Linked DNA regions of Saccharomyces cerevisiae S288C. Changing the gene in region 1 together with any one later gene gives a genetic interaction. Each region holds a gene or a part of one and is shown on either strand. Other genes may lie near its edges.

Region 1 (6,313 bases):
GACCAGGACCAACGACGTGCCTATTGGTCAGAATTATACCTAATTTAGCATCCACGACAAATCCGGTAGCTTCAGATACCAAAGCAGAATCGCAATCGAATGGCGCAACTTGTGAAAAATGAATGGAAACCACTGATTTAACAACGTTGGAGATGGTATTTTGCCATCTTAGATAATTTTCTGAATCTGTGAGTACAGTGTTATTATTATTAGCAAAGTGCAACGGCTCTATAATGATTTCATGGTCTGTATATTCTTCCTCTTGATCTCCGGTGGCGCTTTCCAACTGTTTCCTTTTTACAAGCGATGATTCACCAGAAGTTCCATCGGAAATTTTAGAATGGTCTCTTTTCTTTATATTGCTCAACGATATGGTCATTAGTAGATCTAAAAAACCTTTACTGTACTCTACGTGTGTATTCAGAGTATAAATATCTTCTAAATAAACTTCCGTATTTAAACCCTCGTAGAACTTTTTTATTTACATATAAATTTTTTGAAAGTTTCATATCATCGCCTTGAGGAAAAAAAAAGAAAAAAAGAAAAATTATCATGTCACACGCTGAGATGGCGTCTAATAATGGTAGTGACAGTAAAATAATATTCAATTAAGAAACTTGTTAAATTTTTCTTGCCTCTTTCTAGTTTATCTATGATACATAGCATTTATTATTAAATATTTCAATCGTGACTCTAGGTTCTTGGATCTTGCTGATGCTGATGCTGATACTGGTGTTGCTGTTGCTGTTGCTGCAAAAGTATTTGATGTAATTCCATTACTTGTTGGAAATTACCATTTCCCTGAGGAGGTGCTTGAGGTGGCGGTTGGATGTACATTGGGTTTTGCATTTGATTCATGGGAGGTACGCCATATGGAAGTGGCGGTTGACTTTGGGTCATTGGCATGAACGACTGCTGTGTTGGCGGCGACATATTGTTGTATGCGGGAGGTAAGCTACCATATGGAACAGTGTTGGAGAATTGGGCCGGTGTCGCCTGCCCAAATGGTGGAGGTGGATACTGGAAGTTAGTCGGCTGAGGGAAAGGTGAGTATGGTGGATAAGGCATACCGTTTGGTTGTTGAGGGAAGGGATAATTATTTGCAGAAAACTGTTGTTGGTGGTGCTGTGTGATTGGCACTGGGGAGGAGCCATTCCGATTAGAGGTAGCACTGGATTCACGCTTGATATTTTCACGTGCGTTTCTTGATTTGTACCCATGTTGCATCGGAGCATTACTGCTCATGCCCAACGGCGGTACCAGTTTAGGTAAACTGTTGGCCTTGGGCTGCCGAGCTCTCTTTACCTTGACATTGTCACTATCGTTGGCTAGTTTGCGGTTGTCCCTTTTCTTTCGTTGCCGTTGCTGTTTCTTCATTTTCTTGAAAAGGGCCTCTTTTTCGTCGTCGGAAAATTCTTGTTCCTCTTCAGGTAATTCTTCATCGTACCCATTAGACGCATCAGTACCTTTGTTGCGCTTTAACTCGAAAGTATCTATCCAGTGGGCATCAGGGGTGACTATAAAGGCTTTCTCACCCAAACGCACTTTTAATTCATCGAATAAGTTTTTTTTTGAATCGGGCAACTTAATTCTATAAAATGGGTTTTGCAAGGGTCCAAACACCTCCGTCAACATCCCGATCAAAGTTCTATCCTCGAGACAGAAAATGGAACCCTCTTTTAAAACACGCTTTTCGCCCGACATCGTGGCGTGAATGATTATATTATTTTCAAATGCAGACTTCAAAACACCAATAGGAGTGATGATCGTTTTTTCTGAAATTTCATAATCTTCCGGTAGTTCAGGAACAGTTTCCTCTAGTATTTCGTTCTTCGATAGTATAGGACCGGAAGGTGAAGGGTCTTCGTCTTCGTCTTCATTTTCAATCGCGTCACCACCTTCGTCCTCTCCTTCAACGTCCTGATCTGCAGAATCATCCTCACTACCTGAAGAGCCAGAATCAGAATCAGAATCAGAACCGGAATCTGATTCGGATTCAGAAGAGCCGGATCCTAGGCCTGTTGATCTTTCTGCGTCTGCTACCGGTTCATCGGTCTTCCTCTCGTTCCCACCATCACCTAAAAGACCTAAATCAACATCATCCTTGGGCAATTCCACGTTCAAGTCCTGGTCGGGATTCTCCAAAGCCTTAGAAAACAAGTCATCGCTCATGATTAGCACTGTTTCGACGTGCTATATTGTGCTTCTTCCACTTTCATACCGCTTCATCCTACCTATCATCCTACCATCTTTTTCCTTTACCTTTAAGCTCATCGCCTGAAAAATTTCATGGCCGCAAAAAGAAACGCGCAGACCGTTACCCGAGTGGTAGTGCCTGACTCATTTATGTGCCAACTAAGCATTGCTCGAGAACAAACTAGTGAAAATGTAAACCAGGGAATTTATCATTTGGTCAAAGACCCTGACGAACTAAAACTGTCAAAGGCTGATAACGCAGTAAGAACAGACGGAGGCCTTATACCGCATCTTTGCAGACCACAGTTTCCTATATCTAGTTACAATAGCGCTTGCCGACGATAACCGAGATAACGTATCTTTGCCGCGGGCTATCTCGGCAATCTGCAAAAAAAAAAAACCCCCGCCGCTATTGAAGAAAAGTCTTCGGGAGAACCTGGATAAATACTTGGCATTCCTTAGATCTTGATGCTTTGTCCACTCATATCGGAGCCAAAACTAGACTGTTTCTTCTATATTCTACCAAAGCTGCTAGACTTAGACAAATTTTCTTTTGTTAGTTAAATGTGCGAGTCAGAATAGTATTTTGCATTTGTCACACCACATATTTAAAAGTTTTATCTTTTTCTTTTGTTTTCTCCACTTTTCTTTACTTTTTCTTTAGGTATAATTACGGGGCTTCTGAAAATAAATCTGAAAAATGTCAACGCACTCAAACGACTACTTTTCTGCTTCTTCCGGAATGGTCTCTGAGACATCGTCCGAGGTTTCTTCGATAAACTCTTCACAGCCTGTATCATTCTCTAAGGCTTCTATTGCTGCTCCGGTTCCATGCTCTGATCTACACAGCACCAAGTCGAACGATGCATCGAGAAAATTGTCTATTAGTAGGACGTTAACTAATCGGCTCAACGACATTAAAAAGGCTGTCGATGACGACAACTTGCAGACGGAAGAAAATTCCGCAGACGTTAATAAAATATTAGAATCTAGATTTGACGTGGCCGATGCCATTAGGCTACAGCACAATGAGTCAGTCCAGTCAAAGTTAAACATCCCAGTCACACACACCACGACTGCAGGCGCCTCGTTGTCGGCACCATCTTCCTCTGCTTTCTCTGCTTCTTCTATTCAAAATGATACTACAGAACATAAAGCTTCCATGGACTCCAAACTCATGAGGAATAGACTATATCCGGCTTCCACGAAACACTCCGGTAAGGATCTTGAGGCCCAAGGAATAACCGAATTCGAGCCTGATGAACCGACTGTAAAAAAAGTATTCACCAACAAGTCTACCGGGCAGCTGGAACTGCCCCCCGACGGTGGTTATGGCTGGGTCGTGACATTCTGTGTGTTCTTGACCATGTTTTCCACGTGGGGCTGCAACGCATCCTTCGGTGTCGACCTTGCCTACTACTTAAACCATGATACTTACCCTGGTGCTTCGAAGTACGATTATGCCTTAATTGCTGGCCTAACTGTCTTTCTCGGTCAACTCTTATCCCCCCTTGTGATGGCACTGATGAGAATAATTGGTCTGCGGACCACCATGCTTTTTGGTGATGCTGTAATGCTTGCCGCATATCTCTTGGCCTCCTTTACTACCAAGTTATGGCAATTGTATGTCACCCAAGGTTTTATGGTCGGTTGTTCAATATCACTGATTTTCGTTCCAGCAACAACCGTCTTACCAGGATGGTTCTTGAAAAAAAGAGCTGTCGCAATGGGTGTCTCATTATTGGGTACCGGTGCTGGTGGTGTCGTTTACGGTTTGGCTACAAACAAAATGCTTTCTGACTTTGGAAATACCCGGTGGTGCCTTCGTATCATAGGCATATCGTGTAGCATAAGTGTTCTAGTTGCTATTGCGCTCTTAAAAGAAAGAAACCCTACACCTGCCATAGGATTGAAATCGCCTCGGGCCATGTTTGAACAGCTCAAAGCAATGTTTTCATTAAAGGTTATAACTAAGCCATTTGTGGTACTTATTGCATTATGGTTCATGTTCGCATTATTTGCCTACAATATGATGGTTTTTACTTTATCTTCATACGCAATCTCGAAAGGATTATCATCGCACGACGCTTCCACATTGACTGCCATTTTGAACGGCTCGCAATCCATCGGAAGACCTCTGATGGGTTTAGCGGGAGATAAGTTTGGTAGGGCAAACGTAACGATCGTATTAACCACTTTGTTAACAATATATATGTTTGCGTTCTGGATCCCCGCTCATACGTTTGTTCAACTCATCTTTTTTTCAATTCTAGTTGGCTCATGCGTTGGTGTCGCCAACGTCATGAATACCGTTCTGATTGCCGATATGGTTAAACCAGAAGAGTTTTTGCCCGCTTGGGCCTTCGTCAACTACTGTGGTGCGCCTTTCTTATTGGTTTGTGAGGTGATTGCCCAGGCATTGACGGTGGAGAAAGATAAGAGCAATCCTTACTTACATGCACAAATTTTTTGCGGTTGCTGCTTTATTGCCGCACTAATTTTAATTTCTATCCTTCGTGAATATTCTATCAGGATGAAATTAACGGAAAGACAAGCTATGACAAACGAGAAGTTAAAAGAATGGAAGGCAAGCGAATACGATACCGATTCTGCCGATGAAGATTGGGGTAAATTAAAAGAAAGAAAGACTAAATATGACCTTCTTTTAGGTCCGGGCATTAAAAAATACTTCCTAAGAATGGTATATCCAATGAAGGTCTAGTTCTTTTCGACGACCTGATTCATGTTATATACGCGATAGTTACGTCGCCTACTCATCATATCATTAGTACATAATATTCAATATCTCCGCTTCACCTAATTAAATTTCTTTATTATCAAAAAGACGTAAAGTTAACGCTGAAAAAGCATTCTTTACAGAAAACGACCTTTTTTTAACCTAATATATTTAGCACTGTAAAGATATTCCATGTATCCATATGTAATACACTTTGTGTTGCGGATCCAGGAAAAACAAAACGAAAAAAGAGTCTCTTTACTTGCAAATAAATCTGTAAATCATTTGCTACCATTACAACTTATACATTAAACCTGCGTGGAGGAAATTTATTATAAATGAAAAACGGGACGGGATCATTTCTTAACGGAGCGATTTGCTCAATAAGAAAAGCTCTTCATCGCCATCGTTCTTTAAATCTGCCCTAAAAATATACAGTCTGTCTTTAAAATTTTTATACTGGCTAACAATTTCCTTTAAATTCGTATTAAATTTTCCCAATAATCCGTTAGATGCTTCGTGATCATTGAGATTCATTTTAATGAAGATTTCGTATCCAATGTCGTTCAAATTACAATAAACTTTGACGAACTCGTAAACCGAATTTAAAAGTAAAACCAATGAAGTTGGGTATGGTTGCCCAGAATAATCACCAACGCTTATTTCACTTGTGTTAGTTGCAAAAAGCTTATGAGAAAGAATATTCGTCAAGAACGTGTTATGTACACTTTCTAATTCATCAATATTCAGCGTCTTTTCGATTGCGTGTTTTTGGGGTTTACTGCTTGAAGACTTTGTTAGTACTTCAGCTTTTGGGGTTAAAATCCCATTTAATTCTATGGTGCCATTATTTAATCTAATTAAGTCGAATTGGTTTTGGCTTTTATTCTCTGTGCGTTGCAGTTTCCGGGTCATTTCTTTAAAATTTTCCTCTATAATGCAGTTCAAATAATAAGATTCCATCTTCGAGTTGAATTGCTGGAATTGAGTTCTAAGTATACTGATTCTAGAAAGTTTATTGATAATATCACGGATGAGCGGGTTGTAACCTCTGATTTTCTTGAATGATCTGATTATATCATTACTCTTCAACATTTCCTTTTGATAGAAATAATTGTTCTTTTTAAATCTCCATAAAAAATTGAAAATTCGTAGATACTCTTTCCTGCCAAAAGGACGATTTACGTTTAATACTAAACTCAAAGGGGGGTAGAGGATGTAATCTAAAGTAAAAACATCCCAACCCACGGATCCATGTCCAAGATCGAGTACCCTCGCATCCAATCCATTAATGACAGAACTATTACGGGGACTATTCATTAAATGTCTTAAGGAAGAAAGCTGCACGGCTTCCTGTAAAACCCTTGTTAACTTATAATT
Region 2 (3,851 bases), on another chromosome or scaffold:
ATTTGGGTAGGTTGAAGTAAAACTTATTCAATTCAATAAATTTTTTGGTGGCCTGGTAATTCAAAATTTTCTGATAGTTATCCATTAGCGGTTTCAGTTTGAAAGTTGTTGTTCTAATAACCTCGTCGACCTTTTTATTTAAGCTTTCCACATTTATTTGATTTTCTTTTGGTGAATCACATTGGTTTTTTTCATTCGTTTTCTCGTCAAATTCTTTGTAAATTTGGTCTAACTTGTTTTTAATCTTAACATACTTGGTGAAATTTTTACCAACCAATTGTTTCAAATGTATAGATTGGTCTTGTATATCACTGTCCAACCTGTCCAGTGAGTTATTTAGATCATTGAAAGAGTCTTGTTTGTGCATATCTCTCAGAAAGGCTTTGACGTTGAATTGTTTACTGTTGACAAGATAGTTCAACCGCATTGAATCATTTGGTAGATGTTGCAATTCTTTAGACATTTCTTGTCCATTCAAGGGATCTCTAATATAACTTAACGACTCATCGTTTAAATATGCTCTCGATTCCTTGTCAATGCTAATTTGATTGCCATATTTGAAGTCTTTTAATATGTCGAATGACGTTTCAACGCCAAGTTCATTGCTTGTAGCCTCTTCATTATTCAATTTTGAGGAATCTTGGGCCCAGGAATGGGTCGGATTAATAGTCTTCAACTGATAAAAACGAAGTAGTTGCTCGTCGCCAATTTGAAACCTATCCATGGTACCAAACTTTTTTTCGCTACTTTATTTCAACAGAAACTTCTTTCCTAGTTTAGCAGCTTTAACGCAGCTTATTTTTGTTACTTTAGTTGAATAGTAGGAGTTGATACTTTTGTTTTTTCAAGTTGAAAACAGAAACGAAAAATTAAAGAAGCTGCAGATTCAGCATTCATGCCTAAGCTAAAAAGAACTGGCAGCGAAGAACAGAGGAAAGAATAACTGAAACTATGGATTTTGAGGAAGATTACGATGCGGAGTTTGATGATAATCAAGAAGGACAATTAGAAACACCTTTTCCATCGGTTGCGGGAGCCGATGATGGGGACAATGATAATGATGACTCTGTCGCAGAAAACATGAAGAAGAAGCAAAAGAGAGAGGCTGTAGTGGATGATGGGAGTGAAAATGCATTTGGTATACCCGAATTTACAAGAAAAGATAAGACTCTGGAGGAGATTCTAGAGATGATGGACAGTACTCCTCCTATCATTCCCGATGCAGTAATAGACTACTATTTAACCAAAAACGGGTTTAACGTAGCAGATGTACGAGTGAAACGACTTTTAGCACTTGCTACTCAGAAATTTGTTAGTGATATAGCTAAGGATGCCTACGAATATTCCAGGATCAGGTCTTCCGTAGCGGTATCTAATGCTAACAACAGTCAGGCGAGAGCTAGGCAGCTATTGCAAGGACAGCAACAGCCTGGCGTGCAGCAGATTTCACAACAACAACATCAACAGAATGAGAAGACTACAGCAAGCAAAGTTGTTCTGACGGTGAACGATCTCAGTAGCGCTGTTGCTGAATACGGGCTCAATATAGGTCGCCCAGACTTTTATCGTTAGTGGCTAACAAATGGAAATGAAATATGTATATAGTGTAGCAGTATGCAACTCTTTTAAATACACGATTCGTTATTAGATTGATTAGAGCACTTATTCACGCAAATTTGACACGCTTTTTGAACATCCGTTTTTCACGATTTTTTACTGAAGGATCATGAAAGATTGCCACATAAGAGAACACCTCCGTTGCACCAACACTTCATCACGATAAAAAAACTATCGAGCTATCGTACTACGGAACAACTACATAAGTCAAAAATGGCCATTGATTACTCTAAGTGGGATAAAATTGAACTATCAGATGATTCTGATGTCGAGGTGCATCCTAATGTGGACAAGAAATCGTTCATTAAATGGAAACAACAGAGTATCCATGAACAGCGATTCAAAAGGAACCAAGATATCAAAAATTTGGAGACACAAGTGGATATGTATTCTCATTTGAACAAACGAGTGGACAGAATTTTGAGTAATTTACCTGAAAGTTCTCTTACTGATTTGCCAGCCGTTACCAAATTCTTGAATGCAAATTTTGATAAGATGGAGAAAAGTAAAGGGGAAAATGTTGATCCTGAGATTGCAACATACAATGAAATGGTTGAAGATCTTTTTGAACAATTAGCAAAAGATTTAGACAAAGAGGGCAAAGACTCGAAGAGCCCATCTCTCATAAGGGATGCTATTTTGAAACATAGGGCTAAGATCGATTCAGTAACTGTAGAGGCTAAGAAGAAATTAGATGAATTATACAAGGAGAAAAATGCACACATTTCATCTGAAGACATTCATACAGGCTTTGATAGTAGCTTTATGAACAAGCAAAAGGGGGGGGCTAAGCCACTGGAAGCAACTCCTTCAGAAGCTCTTTCGAGCGCTGCAGAGTCTAATATTCTTAATAAACTAGCAAAATCATCAGTTCCGCAAACTTTCATCGATTTTAAAGATGATCCTATGAAACTGGCCAAGGAAACTGAAGAATTCGGTAAAATATCCATTAATGAGTACTCAAAATCTCAGAAATTCTTACTGGAGCACTTACCTATTATTTCAGAACAACAAAAGGACGCCTTAATGATGAAGGCCTTTGAGTATCAGTTACATGGTGACGATAAGATGACTTTGCAAGTCATTCATCAATCCGAATTGATGGCCTACATTAAGGAAATCTACGACATGAAGAAAATTCCATATTTAAATCCAATGGAACTATCAAATGTCATTAATATGTTTTTCGAGAAGGTTATCTTCAACAAGGACAAGCCAATGGGTAAAGAGTCTTTTTTGAGATCAGTTCAAGAAAAATTTTTGCACATTCAAAAACGTTCCAAAATTTTACAACAAGAGGAAATGGATGAATCGAATGCTGAAGGAGTAGAGACGATTCAATTGAAATCTCTAGATGATTCTACAGAATTAGAAGTAAACTTGCCAGACTTCAATTCTAAAGATCCAGAAGAGATGAAAAAGGTTAAAGTTTTCAAAACTTTAATACCGGAAAAAATGCAAGAAGCCATAATGACCAAAAATTTGGATAATATTAATAAAGTCTTTGAAGATATACCAATTGAAGAGGCTGAGAAACTTTTGGAAGTGTTTAATGACATTGACATTATTGGAATAAAAGCGATCTTAGAAAACGAGAAAGACTTTCAAAGTTTGAAAGATCAATACGAACAGGACCATGAAGACGCCACTATGGAGAATCTGTCCTTAAACGACCGTGATGGTGGCGGAGATAACCATGAAGAGGTCAAACATACTGCCGACACTGTTGACTAGAAATTTATGTAGCTATTTTACTGGTGCAGCGTGCATCTACTTCCTTTTTTATTGTTATTTTCATTTATACATAATACAAAAAAAAAAAAGAAGAAAATTAATGATCAATAAAGAAAATCGTGAAATTACAGCAGAGGTTTTGTACCTGCTTTCCTACGTTAGTACATAATATCTTATTTTTTATTAGTGCATGTTTTTCTCAGTGTGTGTTTTTGTAATTTGTATATACTACACAAAGAATCGGAAGGGTAAAATGTGAAAAATACTGGGTCTTTTGAAATATATTGAACGGGCTAATATATGAAATGAATATGAAAAGAAGAAAAAAATGTGACAAGAAAAAAGTGGTGACAAAAAAGACAAAATAATTATTCAGAGATGATAAACTTAAAGCAAAACTTGGTAACAAACTTTCATTAAAACAAAATATGTATTCTTTTTTCATTTTCATTTTTTTTTTACTGTTTTTTTGTTATTTCATGGAACTGGTAAAGAATTCT
Region 3 (3,326 bases), on another chromosome or scaffold:
GAAGGCGGTGAAAACAAAAAGAATATTAAAAAAAGTAATGTATGGGTTCTCGTTGTACGGATGTTTAAAATGTCCTGAAAAATACCAATTAGACGGTTCTGTGCTTGTTATATATAGATGTCTATACGACTCAACATATGTATGTTGCTGCATTTTAGAAAAAAATTAGGCATTAAACATTAGGCTACACAGGAAATAATGTTTCCTATCAAAAGAGTTCTAACTTGAATTGTTCCTTCACAATTAAAAAAAATAAAAGAGTACATATTTAGGAGGGGGAAGAGATATTGATAATAGACTAAAGTAAGGAGTGAGGAGAGGGCAAAATACAATAATAGATGAAAAAAAAAATAGGAAAATAAAACAATTTTTTCAGAGTGAGGGAACAGAAATGATTATCTGTCCACGCATTAATTAAAAGAGATTAATTAGTATGGTAACTTGTTCTTTTCTGCTGGTTTTTTTTTTTTTGTTTCTAATAGATTGTTGATTTATTTTGATTAAGCTGTTGTTTGTTGGGGAAGAGACTCACTTTGCTGGTGTCCGACTTGTTCATGTTCTTCAACAGCACCTTCTTCTTCTTGTTCAGGTTCTTCAATTTGTCCATCTTCTTGTTCGTCTTCGGACCACCTGCCTTGACCGTCTTCCTCTTCCTCTTCTTCGCCTTCTTCAGGTTCGAAGTCTTCGTAATCCTGCTTGAAACTTAAAGTAGGCTTGACTTGGGCAGAGTCTAGTGTCCATTCATTCAGTGCGCTTTCAGCATCAATAATGATTTGTTTAGAGGCTTCATACCCATCGTAAGCAGGCCTGGTTTCACCTGGAGTGACAGGAGAGTCGTCCAATAGTTCCAAGAGAGCCTTACCGTAACCAGCGATTAAAGCAATTTTCTCTGAATGTTCGATGATGGAGTCAAATTGGTAGTTGAAAGCAGCTCTCAACTTTGACCTTGTGATATTAGATAATTGAGCTTCAGCGACCAAAGATTCAGCCTCAGCACGCACCAATTCTTGTTCCAAGACCTCAATCTTAGGTGATTGAGGATCTTTGTATTTCAAGTAGGCGATTTTGTCGGTGATCTTGTCCTTACGGTCTCTAGATGGTTGAACAGAACCTTCGATATCTCTGATGGACTTTAGAGTCAATCTGTATTGGTCATAACGATCGATAAATTGGTCGTCTAATTCACTAACTTCATAGATCAAGACACCTAATTTATCAGTGATGTCGGAAACATCGTCATCGTTTTCCAACCCCCAAATAGACAATTGCTTAGCAGCGTCACGTCTTTCGTTGGCTGTCAATTCCATGGACCTCAAAACATTCTTTTCAATCTTAACCAATTGAGACAACTTTCTGGATAATTCTGGGCCAAAAGCTCCAGCAGCACTTCTCCTAAAGCTGTAAGCTAGACCACCCTTCCCAAAGAATCTACCTTTGGTTGTAGATGGTGGTGGCGGTGGGTTCTGTAATTGAGAGGCGGTAGGTGCCCTGGAATTTCTTAAAGAGTAAGTTCTGTGCATACTATATACTTGATGCTGATATATTCTTCACTTTGCAATACTGCTAACAATGGAAAAGTATAGGTAAATAAATGTGCAGATGCAGATGTGAGACAAATTTTCTTTCTTGGGTTGGGATAATCAACGCATTGTACCCAAACGACGGGAAACAAGGAAGGATGCAGAATGAGCACTTGTTATTTATAAAAAGACACGGGAGGGGGAATCCCGTCTTTCGTCCGTCGGAGCCAAAGAGATGAGCCAAAGCAGAAAAACAGGGGACGCCGCCCTTCTTCCGTCCCGTGCGTGAGGGGGGCGCGGCCATTCGGTTTTTGCAATATGACCTGTGGGCCAAAAATCGAAAAAAAAAAAAATAAGAGGCGGCTGCGGAATTTTATAAGACAAGCGCAGGGCCAAAGAAAAAATAATAATTGACGTGGCTGAACAACAGTCTCTCCCCACCCCTTTCCAAAAAGGGGAATGAAATACGAGTTCTTTTTCCCAATTGGTAAATATTCAACAAGAGACGCGCAGTACGTAACATGCGAATTGCGTAATTCACGGCGATAACGTAGTATTTAGATTTAGTATAATTTGAACCGATGTATTTATTTGTCTGATTGATTTATGTATTCAAACTGTGTAAGTTTATTTATTTGCAACAATAATTCGTTTGAGTACACTACTAATGGCTTATTGTTTGGCATTTGTAGCGGCAGTCAATTGCGCTTGTTTGATCAAACTTTCCGGAGCATCAAAGACGGGCAGTTTCAGTTCAATTAGTCTGATCACCGAGTTTTTCTGGAACTCTGAATCAGTGGTTAAGGCATCCCACTCACCCGTAGTGGCGATCTTGTGATTTTCGTACTTTTTCGCACCAAATGCGGGCAACAGGGCGAGGTGATCCCAGGTCTGGATTTCGTTGTACTCTGCGTGAGGCCCATGAATCAGCTTTTCGATAGTGTAGCCGTCGTTGTTAAGGACAAAAAGATACGGCTTTAACCCCCATCTGATCATGGTGGAGATTTCTTGGACGGTTAACTGCAAAGACCCGTCACCTATGAATAAGATGACTCTCTTGTTGGGGTCAATCTCCTCAGCGGCAAAGGCAGCACCTAAAGTTGCTCCTGTTGTAAAACCGATGGACCCCCACAACACCTGCGAGATACCGTAGGCGTCCTTAGGAAAGATAGTTTGATTGATACCGAAGGCAGACGTGCCGGTCTCGGAAATGATAACATCACCTTCTTGCAAGAATTTGGACAATTCGTTCCACAACCACTCTTGTTTCAAGGGCGTGCTAGCAGGTACACCTTTGTTTGCGGGAGTTTTGGTTGGTACGGGAACGCTCTTGTAGCCCTTAACAACATCGGGAATAACCTTCAGTAAGTTTTGTAGTGCAAATTTCATTTGTACACCGAGGAACGTAGCGTTCTTCACCTTTACGTAATCGGAATGAAACTCCACTACATTTTTAGTCTTGTAGGAGTAGGAAAACGAACCTGTGTTAAAATCAGAGAGCAAAGCACCGACCGAAAGGATCAAATCAGCCGACTCAACGGCCTGTTTCACGTCTTGTTTGGACAGCGTTCCCACATAAACACCGCCATATCTGGGATGCTGTTCATCTATTGACCCTTTACCTAGAGGTGTCACAAAAGCTGGGAATTGCGTCAAATCAATTAACTTCTGGGTTTCTTTTTTAACGTTGTGCCTAGAAGCACAGGCATCCGATAGTATAACAGGGTTTTTCGAATTCTGGATCAATTCTAGTACGGTATCAATAACTTCCTTTTCAGCTTCGGGATCGTTAGGTTTTAATGATAG

The links.
Region 2: mutations in ESBP6 (region 1) and CDC37 together harm fitness more than expected from each alone (negative genetic interaction), as found in Saccharomyces cerevisiae (2 studies listed by BioGRID).
Region 3: mutations in ESBP6 (region 1) and PIL1 together harm fitness less than expected from each alone (positive genetic interaction), as found in Saccharomyces cerevisiae (2 studies listed by BioGRID).

Annotation. Positions count from the first base shown.
Region 1 is NC_001146.8:388,751-395,063, reverse strand, and holds ESBP6 (Esbp6p), read left to right. Parts: upstream 1-2,896; coding exon 2,897-4,918; downstream 4,919-6,313. Other genes in the region: NMA111 (Nma111p), read right to left, coding at 1-379; NAF1 (RNA-binding snoRNP assembly protein), read right to left, coding at 694-2,172; SPC98 (Spc98p), read right to left, coding at 5,297-6,313.
Region 2 is NC_001136.10:788,498-792,348, forward strand, and holds CDC37 (Hsp90 co-chaperone CDC37), read left to right. Parts: upstream 1-1,830; coding exon 1,831-3,351; downstream 3,352-3,851. Other genes in the region: exocyst subunit SEC5, read right to left, coding at 1-724; TAF10 (Taf10p), read left to right, coding at 952-1,572; STB3 (Stb3p), read right to left, coding at 3,851-3,851. UniProt on the Saccharomyces cerevisiae protein: Co-chaperone that binds to numerous kinases and promotes their interaction with the Hsp90 complex, resulting in stabilization and promotion of their activity.
Region 3 is NC_001139.9:649,098-652,423, forward strand, and holds PIL1 (lipid-binding protein PIL1), read right to left. Parts: upstream 1,521-3,326; coding exon 501-1,520; downstream 1-500. Other genes in the region: PDC6 (indolepyruvate decarboxylase 6), read right to left, coding at 2,193-3,326. UniProt on the Saccharomyces cerevisiae protein: Negative regulator of cell wall integrity (CWI) in unstressed cells, probably by inhibiting protein kinase PKH1/PHK2 activity and regulating their downstream CWI pathways PKC1-MAP kinase pathway and protein kinase YPK1 pathway.